2 linked regions of the Caenorhabditis elegans genome follow. The protein of the gene in region 1 interacts with the protein of each later gene in a biochemical or structural test. Each region holds a gene or a part of one and is shown on either strand. Other genes may lie near its edges. The genes, in order: pkc-3 and par-3.

Region 1 (6,916 bases):
AGCAACAGTACCTTTTACTTTCAATCTCTATTTTGCAACATTTTCTCAATATTTTGTGTGGTTTTATAATGATGTTTCTAGAAAATATATGCATATTTTCAAAATGAATACATTGGGAAACACGGAGTTGAGAAAAACACGCTGGGTTACTGTAGCAGAAAAATGCCAGTCGTGTCAGGACCCTTCATAACTTTTCAGAACGATGGGAGATCTACTTTCCTGCCTTTGCTATACACTTGAAGTATCATTCTTCTCTTATCGCCATACAGACTCTTCTGGAAATGGAATACAACATTGTACGCCATATCTTCAATATAAATGTAGGTTTTTTTTCAGTGATTTCCTACTGTAACTTGGTTCAATTTTCAGATGAAGCTCTCGGCGAGGCATTTTGCAGAGCACTTCTCAACTTCTATGAAGCCGACTGTGGACTACGAGAGATTGTGCTCGAACGTCCCTTTAAGACTTTTCTACCCGCCCGCGCCCAGAAAACTTTGAAAAAGCAAGCGAGGAAGGTGATTCAGACTGTGATGATGAAATGAATTGGCGCCCACATTAGAACTGATAAAGACCATTGAAATGCAATTTTTTTTTGTTTGTCAATAAATAAGTAAGGGAAGTGGTCAAATGGAAGAACATGTAAATTGAATTGAAGTTAAATCGAGTTCCACACGTGGCACAAAAGAAGTGTCAGATGGCGAAGAGACTACATTGATCGTAGTCTTCGCCGCAATTTTACATATATTTCAGGGAAATGAATGAGCTGACAAGAAAAGTAACAAGAAGGTGTATTTAGAAGGGGAGGTCATCAAGCATTAGGTATTCCTAGCAAGTATGAATAGTCTAGATTTTAACAGAAACCAAAAAAAATCACAACCTTTTCGGGATTGTAAGATACCACAAGACGAGTAGAAGTGATTGTTGCGAGAAAATGTATAACAGATGTTGAGAAAAAGAAAATAAGTTAGGATACTGATTATGCCACGAGTTAGTGTGTCATAGTATCGTATAAGACAGTGGGCGAAGGAGATGGGATTCGAGAATAATAATAAAAATCACAAAAAAGTATACCGAAGAAAATAAATATTTGGGACTCGGGGGATGGTGGGGGAATCAGACTGAATCTTCCCGACTCATTTGTAGAGGATTCACGTATTCAAATCCATCAAATTCTGATTGATCAATTCGTGCAATAACATCTGGATTGTCAGGTGATAATTGTGGAAGTTCGTCGGTGAACTGAAAAAAAAAACAAGCATTTTGAATTAGTTTTAAAATATTTTGATTCAATAATTTATTAGTAAACAAAAACTAATTTTTTTTTAAAGTTAAGTTCTGAAGAAATTAAAATTACCTGATGATCAAAGTGTGTCAAATCGCGATCACTTTCCACAGCTGGATGATATGGAGGTGCGACAGCCTTCTGTTCCAAAGCTTCCCAATCAATGAATCCACGGAAGAATTGATGTTCTTTCATATCACGAAGACCTTCATTAATGTCAAGCTTACATCCCAGACGTTCTGTTGGATCCTTGTTCAGGAATCCCTTTAGAATACCAGAAGCCCGTACAGAAAGTGATCTAGGGATTCGAATCTGTCGTTCAAGAATGATTTGGAAAAGATAATCTTCTGTATTTTCCTCGGAATTCTGCATTCCAACAATATCGAATGGAGATCGACCAGCCATCATTTCAAACCTAAAACGATTTAAATAAAATAAATGTTCAACCAAAAAAGGCTTACATTAACACTCCCAATGCCCACCAATCAACACTGAATCCATATTCATCACCTCTCAATATTTCTGGTGCAATATAATTGGGTGTTCCACAGAAAGTTGAAGTTAAATCTCCATCCTTAATATTCTCTTTACACATTCCATAATCTGTCAGTTTTATGTGTCCTTCAGCGTCAATCAGAACATTGTCCAATTTGAGATCACGATAAATGATTCCGCGAGAATGAAGGAAATGAAGAGCAAGAATTATTTCACCCGAATAGAATCGAGCGTGCTCTTCTGGAAGCTTCCGTTGCTGTTGCATGTGGAACATCAGATCACCTCCAGGAACGAATTCGATGACAAAGAACAGGCGGGATTCGGTCTGAAATTATCAAAATTTTGGTTTAAAATTTTTAATGCGAAAATTTGAGATTTGAAAAAATCGAAGAAAAAGAAAGTTACCAACCTGGAAGCAAGAATGTAATCCAACAAGGAATGGATAATTTGACGCTGCTTCGAATACTGACTTCTCCGTCTGTACCCAATCGATATCTTCATCTTCATTGAACATCTCCTTTTTGATAATTTTTATCGCGTAAATTTGACGAGTTGAAACATGTTCTGCTTGCACAACTTTTGCATAAGATCCACGTCCAATAACTGTTAAAAGACGGAAATCGTTCAGAGAAACTGCCCATTTTGACGACCCATTTCCATTCTGAAATATTAAAAAATTTTAGTATTTGAATCTATGTAACTTTAAAAATACTTTTCGCCGTTTCTTTTTATCTGATACTGGGAAGCACTGACAGAAAAGTGCCATACGTTGAAATATTAAAATATTTTGATATCAGGAAGAAATCAGAATTCGCAGCGAGGAAGGGAATTGTGGTTGGAAATGAATAAAAATTTTGAGAGCAAGAGAAAGAGTGAAACTACAAAAACTTGTTCATCCAAAAAAAAACAAAAAAATGTAGTTGAGTCTAGAAATCTAGAATGTTTTTCAAGAGTTACATATATCACGTATCTAGAAATTTGAAATTGAAATTGCAACAGGAAGAACCTAATATTTAATTGAACTTTGGATTAAACTTAATTAAATATTTCAATTAACTACCACTATTTCAAAGACTTTCCAATTTAAATTGTTTTTTTTAACAAGAGTTATTTCATTTTCAGCTATTGTAAATCTGAGACTTTTCAGATGGTTTTATTTAAATAAAAGTTATGTTTTTTTGGAAATAAACTAATAAATTTCAAAAAAAATTAACTTTTCTGAATATTAAATTAAATTTATTACGATCCCTCGGAGACGTGAAGACAAAGATATTTATATCAAATTTCAAATATATTTTATTTCAAATTTTGGCTCCAACTTCAAAAGCTTACCATAGCTCTGCTAGCATCATGACTCGTGGATCCGGGTGATTCGATTTCGTGCTCGTGGAATGCTCCGTTATCAATTCCTCCACCCGACCGCGTTGTAGATGAGCTTGTATTCGATCGAGCACCCTTTAGAGAACCACTTGCAGGAGCCATTGGGATAATATTCGGGCCTTGGAGAGCCTGAAAATGATTTAGATTTTTATGAGGAATTTAAAAATTTAAGCTTTAAACCTGTTTTGCACAGAAATTTGTAAAAATTGAAAAACAGAAGTCTGGGAGGTCTTAGTTTCAAAATTTTGGAATAATTTAGAAGCTATCCTCGCTACAAAAAAAAAGAATTACCTGACCACAATGCGTTCGCACATGCCGATGGCATTTTTTGTGCACGCATAAACGACAATCCACACATCGAAAGCCTTGCCGTCCAATTCCCCATATGTAGTCATGACAAATAAAGCATTGAATACGGCTGAAAAGAAAGAAGCTCCGGAGGCTGTAAATCAGAAAAAAAAACCTACCGATTCAGCCGTTTCGCTTGGAATCGATGCCCATTGTACAGATAAATTTTCTTCCATCGTCGAGCACCTCTTCGATATACAGTTTCTGGAAAAAAAACATTTCTCAGACTCGAAAATTTCCGATTTTTCCTCCGACAAATTTCTTGTTAAACGCGAGAAATTGTGTGCCTTTAAAGATTACTGTAGTTTCAAACTGCGGAAGTTTGATCTATTTTCCAAAATTCCAAAATTTATGTGTTTCTAATTGTTTCATTTCAATCTTTTTATAAAAATTGATAGAAATTCCGCTTTACAGTATTCTTTGAAGGCGCACATTTTTTCGAAATTCTAAATAATTTTTCTGATAGCTTCATGATACTTACTGTCTTCTCCTTGACACGGAAGCCCGGGCAGCTCTGGTTTTCCAACAAAAACGTGAATGTTCAACTCGGCTTCTTGACTAGAATTCAAACATCGAACTGCTTCATCAAGTTCCATTTGTGAGTCTATTGAGATTGGATCTCCATCTTCATCAATCCATTTTACAGTAATATCTTGTTTTTTGTGTTGTTTACAAGCATCTTTCAAAAGTGCAAAAAAGTCATCGAGAATGAGCGGTGGTCGAGCATAGAGTACTACTACCTGGAATTTAATTTTTATTAAAATTTGGGAGTCTGGAATTTTTCAGATTAAAAAAAAAAAGTTATACAGTAACAAAAATTATTTTTCAATTTTGCAGAATTTTTAAAAAATCAGTGGTTGTTTTTTTTTAATTTTAGCCGGAAAAGAGCTTTTTAAGTTTTAAACACTATTAATCAAATCATTAAAAGTTCAGAAAAATTAATTTTTTACAGTTTTATTCGGTTATCACGGTCTTTTTCTATTTTTTGTCTGGAATTTTCTCTCTGTTACGAATTTTTAAAGCTTTGACAAACTAAAATTTCGCATTGACGGCGAAATGATTTACACATTCTCACTGCAACGAAAAATTCATTTTTAGGGTATTTCTCGATTTTTGAGCATTTCAAAAGCCACTTTTCATATCTCACCTGTCCTTGAAACCTCGTTTTTAGCTTAATATCTCCGTCCTCCTCTAATGATGTCGGAGACGACATTCTGAAATAAAAATTGAACTAAAAACGGTTCAAAAAAAGGAGTTCTGAACGAAAACTGCGAAACTGAAACAGTGACGAGTTGGCAGTATTAGAGTAAAAAAGGGAAAAATGACTCATGAATAAACATGCACATACACACACACACACTGTTATAGCTATATATGCATTGACGCTCTATCGAACACCCCCATTTTGTCCAAGTGTACAGGTCAGTGAGAGCGGCCCAGCTTTGAAGAGGCATAGAGAAATGAATAATCACAGGTGACCCTCACAAACACTGTACAGGACGACGATGCGCGCGCACCGACTAACACGGGCGGTCTAGGAAAGTGACAAAAAAGTAACAGAGAGAGAGTCTCGACACATATTGTTTGTTCCTGAACAGAAACAGTTATATTCGAATACCGAGTTTATTTTACGGTTATCAAGCAATTTCATGAATTTCAGAATTTCAGTATCAAAATGAAAAATGAGTATAAATAAACCGTTCAGATAAATACTAGGGATACGGGGGAAATTAGAGATGTAAGACATTTAGTGCTTCTTGAAGTACTCTTGGCTTTCTTTGACTCCTGGCTTGATGGTGTCGGATCCTGGAGTCCATCCAGCTGGGCAAACCTCTCCGTGCTTCTCGACGAACTGGAAGGCCTGAACAAGACGAAGAGTCTCATCAACAGAGCGTCCGACTGGAAGATCATTGATGGTGATTTGACGGAGGTTTTGTGATGGGTCGATGATGAAGAGTCCTGAAATTTTATTTTTCAAATAAAGTACGAAAATATGAAGGATTCCATTCAGAATATAACTCACCACGGAAAGCAATTCCTTCGTCCTCCTTGAGAACTCCGTAATCACGGGAGATTTGGTGGTTGGTGTCAGCGAGAACTGGAATGTTCATCTCTCCGAGTCCTCCGTGCTTGCGTGGCTGGTTGATCCATGCCAAGTGAGAGAAGACAGAGTCGGTGGAAGCGGCGAGCACAACGGTGTTGATAGCCTTGAACTCCTCAGCACGGTCAGAGAAGGCGATAATCTCGGTTGGGCACACGAAAGTGAAGTCAAGTGGGTAGAAGAAGAGCACAACGTATTTTCCCTTGTAGTCAGAGAGCGAAACATCAACGAACTCGCCATCAACGACGGCTTGAGTCTTGAATTGTGGAGCTGGCTTTCCGATGAATGCTTTCGACATCTAAAAATTAATTAGTTTAACAAAAAAAAATAATACCGCGATAAAATAACAACCACAATCACAAGAACAACAATACGACAAAAAATGAAAAGGATATTGAAACCCAACGGCAACGAATTTGTTTGCAATGTGAAAAGAAGGAGAATAAGGTGACGGGCGGTGCTTATCTAATGGGAATGAAATACATTGGCAAAATTGGAGAGCGACGAAAGAAAAAAAATCGGAGGACGAAATGAGAACTAATAAAACATTCTGGGAACATCTTTGAAAAACCAAATTAATTGTTATAAAAGTGAGTGATCATGTTAAATAACAGAAATCGAGGGGTTTAAACTTTTCCGTGATTTAAATTAATATCTAAGTAACCAAATATATTTTTAAAAAACAAATAAGAAATGCACCTTTGGAGCGAGAGACATGATTTCACACTGCAATTTTTAATAAACATTTCTTTGCATCTTCCAAGAAACGAAATAAGGTCAGTCTTTTTATAACATTGCCACAAACTTTCATCATCATGTGACGCGATTTTTGCTGACAATTGTCGCGGCAGGGAGTAACAGACTACAACGTTTAGGAGGAGCGAAAATCTTAGGGTTCAAGGTCACTTTTAAAGAAAATTCAAATATTATTACCTGTCTATACATCTTGGCGCAGAGTTTTAGAATTTCAGCTGGTCGAGCAGGTCTTAGAATTCGAATTCACTATTTATCTTAAATTTAGCTGATCGATTCTATCTCTCATTTGGCTAGCGTATTCTTCCCCGGTTGCTATGGCTTCCTAGCAAGCTTTCATAAAAGTCGAAAATAACCTGAACTCGCAGACAAGATTGCAAAAAAATGTGGAGTATTTCAACGGGCGCCGCTAGGCGCAGATCAATAAATATGAAGGTGGTCAGACGAGAGAGCGGAAAAAAACGAGGCGCCACGAAGTAAACAAGTGAAACTACGCGAATGCGAGAAAATCTGCGAAAAAACTAACCGGTTGGAGATGTTGCGTCGAAAATCCTAAA
Region 2 (5,066 bases), on another chromosome or scaffold:
TGCTCTTTTTTTTTCGATAAAAGGCAATTAAAAATATCTTTCTTGTAGATTTTTAAACTTTCGGAAAAGCAATCGTAGAAAAGTGCAAAAAGTTGATTGTTCAGTTTGAGCTTTTCCATTCAGGCTCTCCGAGCATTTGACAAGCCGCGCGAGCTCCGCTGGTAACTCACTGTTTTTCTAATATCCAATCGCGCACCGCTGCGCCAATCTCTGTTCATTTCGTCGTTTGCCAGCTCAACTAATAGTCGGGACAGCACCCACTTCATATAACTTATTGACACGACTATAATTTGTCATTTTGCTTCTCCAATCCATCTCATGAAATATGTGTGTCGTGGCGTCAAGTTGGCATATGCAATGAGGTGATGGCTCTCTAACTCTTGTGCAATACAGCTGGTGCGCACTGACTCAACCTTCTCTTTTTTGACATTTTACATTAGGAAAATGCCAATCAGAAAGTGTAATGGTACACAATATGTGACCTATAGTCGGTTTTAGTTTATTTTACGCCGAAAATACGGTACCCGGTCTCGACACGACAAACTGTTGTTAAATGCGAAAAGGGTTGCGCCTTTAAGGAGTACTGTAATTTCAAACTTTCGTTGCTCAAGAATTTTCATTGAATTTTCATAGCGTTCCCCACATATATGTATTTAACAAAACATTTTCGTATCGTATTTTTGGAAAAACGCAAAATTCCGCGTCTGATTTTAAATCACAAACCGACAATAAGGTTTTCCGAATCCAAGAAAAATTGAATTTTCCCCAAAAAGTAGAGCAATTTATTTTCAAGTCTTTCCTGTTTTTTTACAAATCCATCCCAGCACAACTCGGTGTTCTTCCAAAAACTCGTCTCCTCCAACATGCTCATTATAATGGATCATCATCTTCTCTAGAGGATCCTCTGTGTGACTTCTCCACTTGACAAATTGCCCAAGTGGAAATAAAATAGGCACATTTGGAAATCCTTGGTGAGCACTGAGAGAGAAAATAGAGTAGAGAGAATCCAAAAATGTAATTGGATAACCACCTTCCTCCCGTTCTGTCTTCCAGAAATGTCCTCCCATTTTCCCAGCAAAGGTTTCATTGTTTGTTTTGATATCAAAAATTCATTTATTATTTAGCTATGCGATGAGCAATGCGATGACTGCGAATTCAGTTTTAAGGCCGCTTTTTCTTAAATAAAATTTAAAAAAATTTGTAGACTTGTGAAATTGAGAAATACAGTAATCATTTTTCGGAACAGATGGGTACGGTACGCATTCGCGGCGAGACCTATCGCATGGCGGGAAATTTTTTTTGAAAATTAAAATCTGCAAAAACTTCAAATTTTTAGATTGTCTATTGATTTATGTGCGATATTTTGAGTTTTTTCTCATTCCGTCAACTAATTCTCGTCCAGAAGATCAATTAAGCTATTCAGATCTTGAAAACACGAAAAAATCCGATTGAAATCGGAAATCGGGCCGATTTTTTTCAGAATATTGTTTTTCGAGCTGAATTTGTCTGCGCAAAAACAAAACTTAAAACGCTGAATTTTTTGTATTACAGATTTGAAAACTCAAGAATAAAATCACTAAAAAGCTAATTTTTGTATCCTTTTAAAATTGGCGCGGGCAATTCGGACAAATTTTTAAGATTTTAATGTTTTCCCGCTAAATTCAAACTTTTTTCCATCGCTGAGCACACTAAATCATTTGCTCTTTCTCTCTTACTGTTACTTACTTCACAGACACACCAATCATTTTCTTATCACTCTAATATATATTTTCTTGCAGATAGAAAAGGTCTCGCAGAGCAAATAGGTGCGAAACGAGAGAGCCTCTCGGGAGGAGAAACGTTGATTGGTTTGTTAAAACTTCTTTTCATTTCATTTAATTTTTCTTTATATCTGCTCATTTTCAGATCGATCATCATGTCGGCTTCATCCACGTCATCATCTAGCACATCGTGTCCGGAAGGTGGCGAACCATCGGGAAGCTGTAAAAGCAGCGACGAGGGTGAATCGACACTGAAAAAACGAATGCAACAGTACGGAATTGCGAGTGGTTACGCGAATTCCTCAATATCTACACTTGATAGAGTGCGGAAGTTTTTTTTTCTTAAAAATTGGAGAAAAAATCTTGAATTATCTTTCATTCACGCTTCAGAAATCTTCAATTCAAACTGTCAACAGTTCTACCCGATTTTTGTTTCAAAAAAATGCTTGAACTGCTGAGAATTCCATTTCTGCAAATTTTCATACTGCAAAAATGCGCATTTTAAAATGATTTTGTAAATTCAAATTTTTAAGTCAAAATCCGAATTTTGTACACATTCTATTTTTGAGTTGGAAAGTTTAAGATCCTTTTCAAATTTGAAATTTCTGGCTTTTTCGATTATAACACCGAAATCTGGAATTATTTTTTACTTTAAAAAATGTGAAATCCATTGAATATTTGAAACCTTGGTTGTAATTTATAATTATAAGCAATATTTTAATTTTTCAGAGCCAATATCAATCGCTTCCACTGAATGGAACTCGCCGAGTCACTGTTCAATTTGGACGAATGAAAATTGTGGTACCATGGAAGGAATCGGTGAGCTTTTTTTTCAAATGTTCAATCAATTTTTTAATATTTTTCTTGTTCAGGATCAGACAGTTGGTCAACTAGCAGACGCAGCACTTCTTCGGTACAAAAAAGCGAGGGGAATGGTAATTTTTTTTCTCCAAAAATTTGCAGAAAAAAGGTCATTTTGGAGGCAAAAAAGCGTATCCCAAATTTTCCCATGAATACAGTCAGTCGGGAATAATGAAAGGAAAATCAACAAGAAGCACGCAATTTTATCTTCGTCTTATTCTCTTCCAATATTATTCCATTCCCGAAGAAGCAGCAGCCCCCTTTCGTTTTCTCGGAGAGGTTAATTCGGCTGAGAACAAGGCCGCACCGATGAGGATGTGTTGAATACCATTTCTCTGTTCATTTTCACCAAATAATCCCCTTCCTTTTCCGCTTTGGAGAAAAAGAAAGTTTGGAAGAGACGCAGACAGTGTTACAGTGTGTTGTTGGCACACAACACTGTAAATAATAGATATTTCTTCATTCTCTCTCATAAGTGACTGTCAAAAAGTTTTACTATTTTGTGGAGTTGAACTGTGGTGCTCTTGGATTTTTATTTAGTTACTCCTGATCTTCTCACTTTAAACATTAAGACTTAGTGGTTATCATCCCAATTTATATTTACTAAGCAGTAAAACATTTATCTTGATTGAATATCCAATGATCGCTTCATTTTCTTGAAAATCTCTACAAATTGAAGGCAATTTTCTCCTCTTGGACCACCAACCATAACTAGCGAATCCTAGCCAAAGAGGGATTAATTTCCAAAATGGATTCTGGTCGAATTTGACTTTAATCGGCGTACGCTGTGCGGCATGGAAATTCCGGAGGCCGTCGCCTCGTCCCGATTGGATTTTGCAATTTGCAATAAACGGATTGATTTCGACGCGCTTGGTAGATTTTTGTTTATATAACATGCATTGGTCTCTCACCATGTTCACTTCATGGCGGATTTTGTACGAATCTCTTCCCCCTCATCATCATCGTCGTCGATCATCATGCTTCCTGTTCGCGCAGGTTGTAGCATTCGTTTCGCAGTAAATTAAGTTTTCCGCTGTAGGCAGGCAGTTGATCTAAATAAATCTGATAAGAATTTATTCGAAGGCTTAAGATTTGTTATCTCTCTCTCTCTCTCTCTCTCAGTTTTGTTGATTTAGATTTATTTGACGTTGAGGACGATATAATCATTATCAGCAGCAACAACCAACTTGAAATTAATCAAATGGAATGTATAGTTGGACGTTGTGTAATAGGAGTACGAGTAGAAAGTGTGAGTCAATTGCAGAAATTAGTGTTTTGTTAGGAAGTTGGGCGCCAGTTTTAAACCCGCCGCCTACACTTTTGATATTACGATGAGCACGGTTCAAAGGCAGGAGTTTTTTTTTCAGCCGTATCAGACTTTATAAATTTTCCATTTACTAATTTGATCCAGTTTTTATGGTCATGTAACATGTAAAGCTGTGTTTAGTCCCAGCCGAAAAGAAAATTGAACAGAACTCAAAGTTTTCGTGTGACTAAAAAAATATGGTGAGTCACCTTGGAATGTTTTTGTTCGGTTTTGAATTTCAATTCAAAAATTGTGAACAACTTTGGCGTTATTCATAATTGTGGAAGTTTTGAATTTCAGTTGAAAAATGAAAATTGTGATGTGAAAACCTTGAATTATTGTTCCTTTCAAACTTATTGTATTTGACTCCAAAGGCCTCCGAATAGCTCCAGAACATGTGAATTGGCAGCACTTAAAGTTGTTCATCTATCTCTATCTCTCTCTCCTCGCCATCATCGTGAAATAAAGCACCCCCTATTCTACATGCAATGTCATAACACTCATATCTCATGTTATCGCCATCCTCCGCTGCCACTACGAATCATCTGTTCTGAAAGCAGCTTTTTTTCGGGTGGTTTTTGTATTTTTCTTTACTGATAAACAGCTTGTGTTGTTGTTGTTCGCGACGAGAACAAATATCATGGACATTTTACCAACTATTGAGAAGATAAGAAGAAATGGTTAGGAATGATGTGTATATAGACATCTTCCCCTTTCTATCTCTCTTCCCTTCTCTTCCGAGTGTTTCTGTTTCTATTTGTCGTTCGATCTGATGATTGTCGTCATTTTTTCTCAGCCGCTCCTCTTCTTGATGCCCTTGCGCAACCCCACCGTGGCTTACTTGTTGGGGGGTCTTGGAGCGAAGAGCACACATAAATGATATGAGTCATTCCGTACAGTCATCCTGTATTCTTCTTGTTCTCACAGTTTACCCGTGCTCGATGCCTTTTTATGGTGCAGCTTCGGGCCCTCTCGTACATGAATGGGTACTGTAGCTGTTATGACCACTCGAAAAGTACTATATTCTTCGCTCTCTTCCTTTTTTCCGCTTCTGCTTCTCGGTTGAGTACACCTTGTTTACCTTCTGTGTGTGTCTGTTCGCTTCCTCGTGTTTTTCGCTCGTTACACATCACCTTAAA

The links.
Region 2: of the proteins of pkc-3 (region 1) and par-3, one has a biochemical effect on the other in vitro, tested with the Caenorhabditis elegans proteins (one study listed by BioGRID).

Annotation. Positions count from the first base shown.
Region 1 is NC_003280.10:5,377,830-5,384,745, reverse strand, and holds pkc-3 (Protein kinase C-like 3), read right to left. Parts: upstream 4,720-6,916; 5' UTR 4,719-4,719; coding exon 4,653-4,718; intron 4,246-4,652; coding exon 3,987-4,245; intron 3,710-3,986; coding exon 3,625-3,709; intron 3,576-3,624; coding exon 3,449-3,575; intron 3,287-3,448; coding exon 3,110-3,286; intron 2,439-3,109; coding exon 2,187-2,438; intron 2,103-2,186; coding exon 1,744-2,102; intron 1,698-1,743; coding exon 1,355-1,697; intron 1,240-1,354; coding exon 1,114-1,239; 3' UTR 577-1,113; downstream 1-576. Other genes in the region: ccpp-6 (Cytosolic carboxypeptidase 6), read left to right, coding at 199-320, 370-542; Peroxiredoxin prdx-2, read right to left, coding at 5,253-5,464, 5,529-5,904, 6,306-6,323.
Region 2 is NC_003281.10:5,662,457-5,667,522, forward strand, and holds the start of par-3 (PDZ domain-containing protein), read left to right. Parts: upstream 1-1,776; 5' UTR 1,777-1,847; intron 1,848-1,905; 5' UTR 1,906-1,915; coding exon 1,916-2,083; intron 2,084-2,489; coding exon 2,490-2,579; intron 2,580-2,632; coding exon 2,633-2,695; intron 2,696-5,066. UniProt on the Caenorhabditis elegans protein: In cooperation with pkc-3, required for establishing cell polarity and regulating spindle orientation in the early embryo. Localization is crucial for recruiting par-6 and pkc-3 to the peripheral apical cortex and restricting par-2 to basolateral surfaces.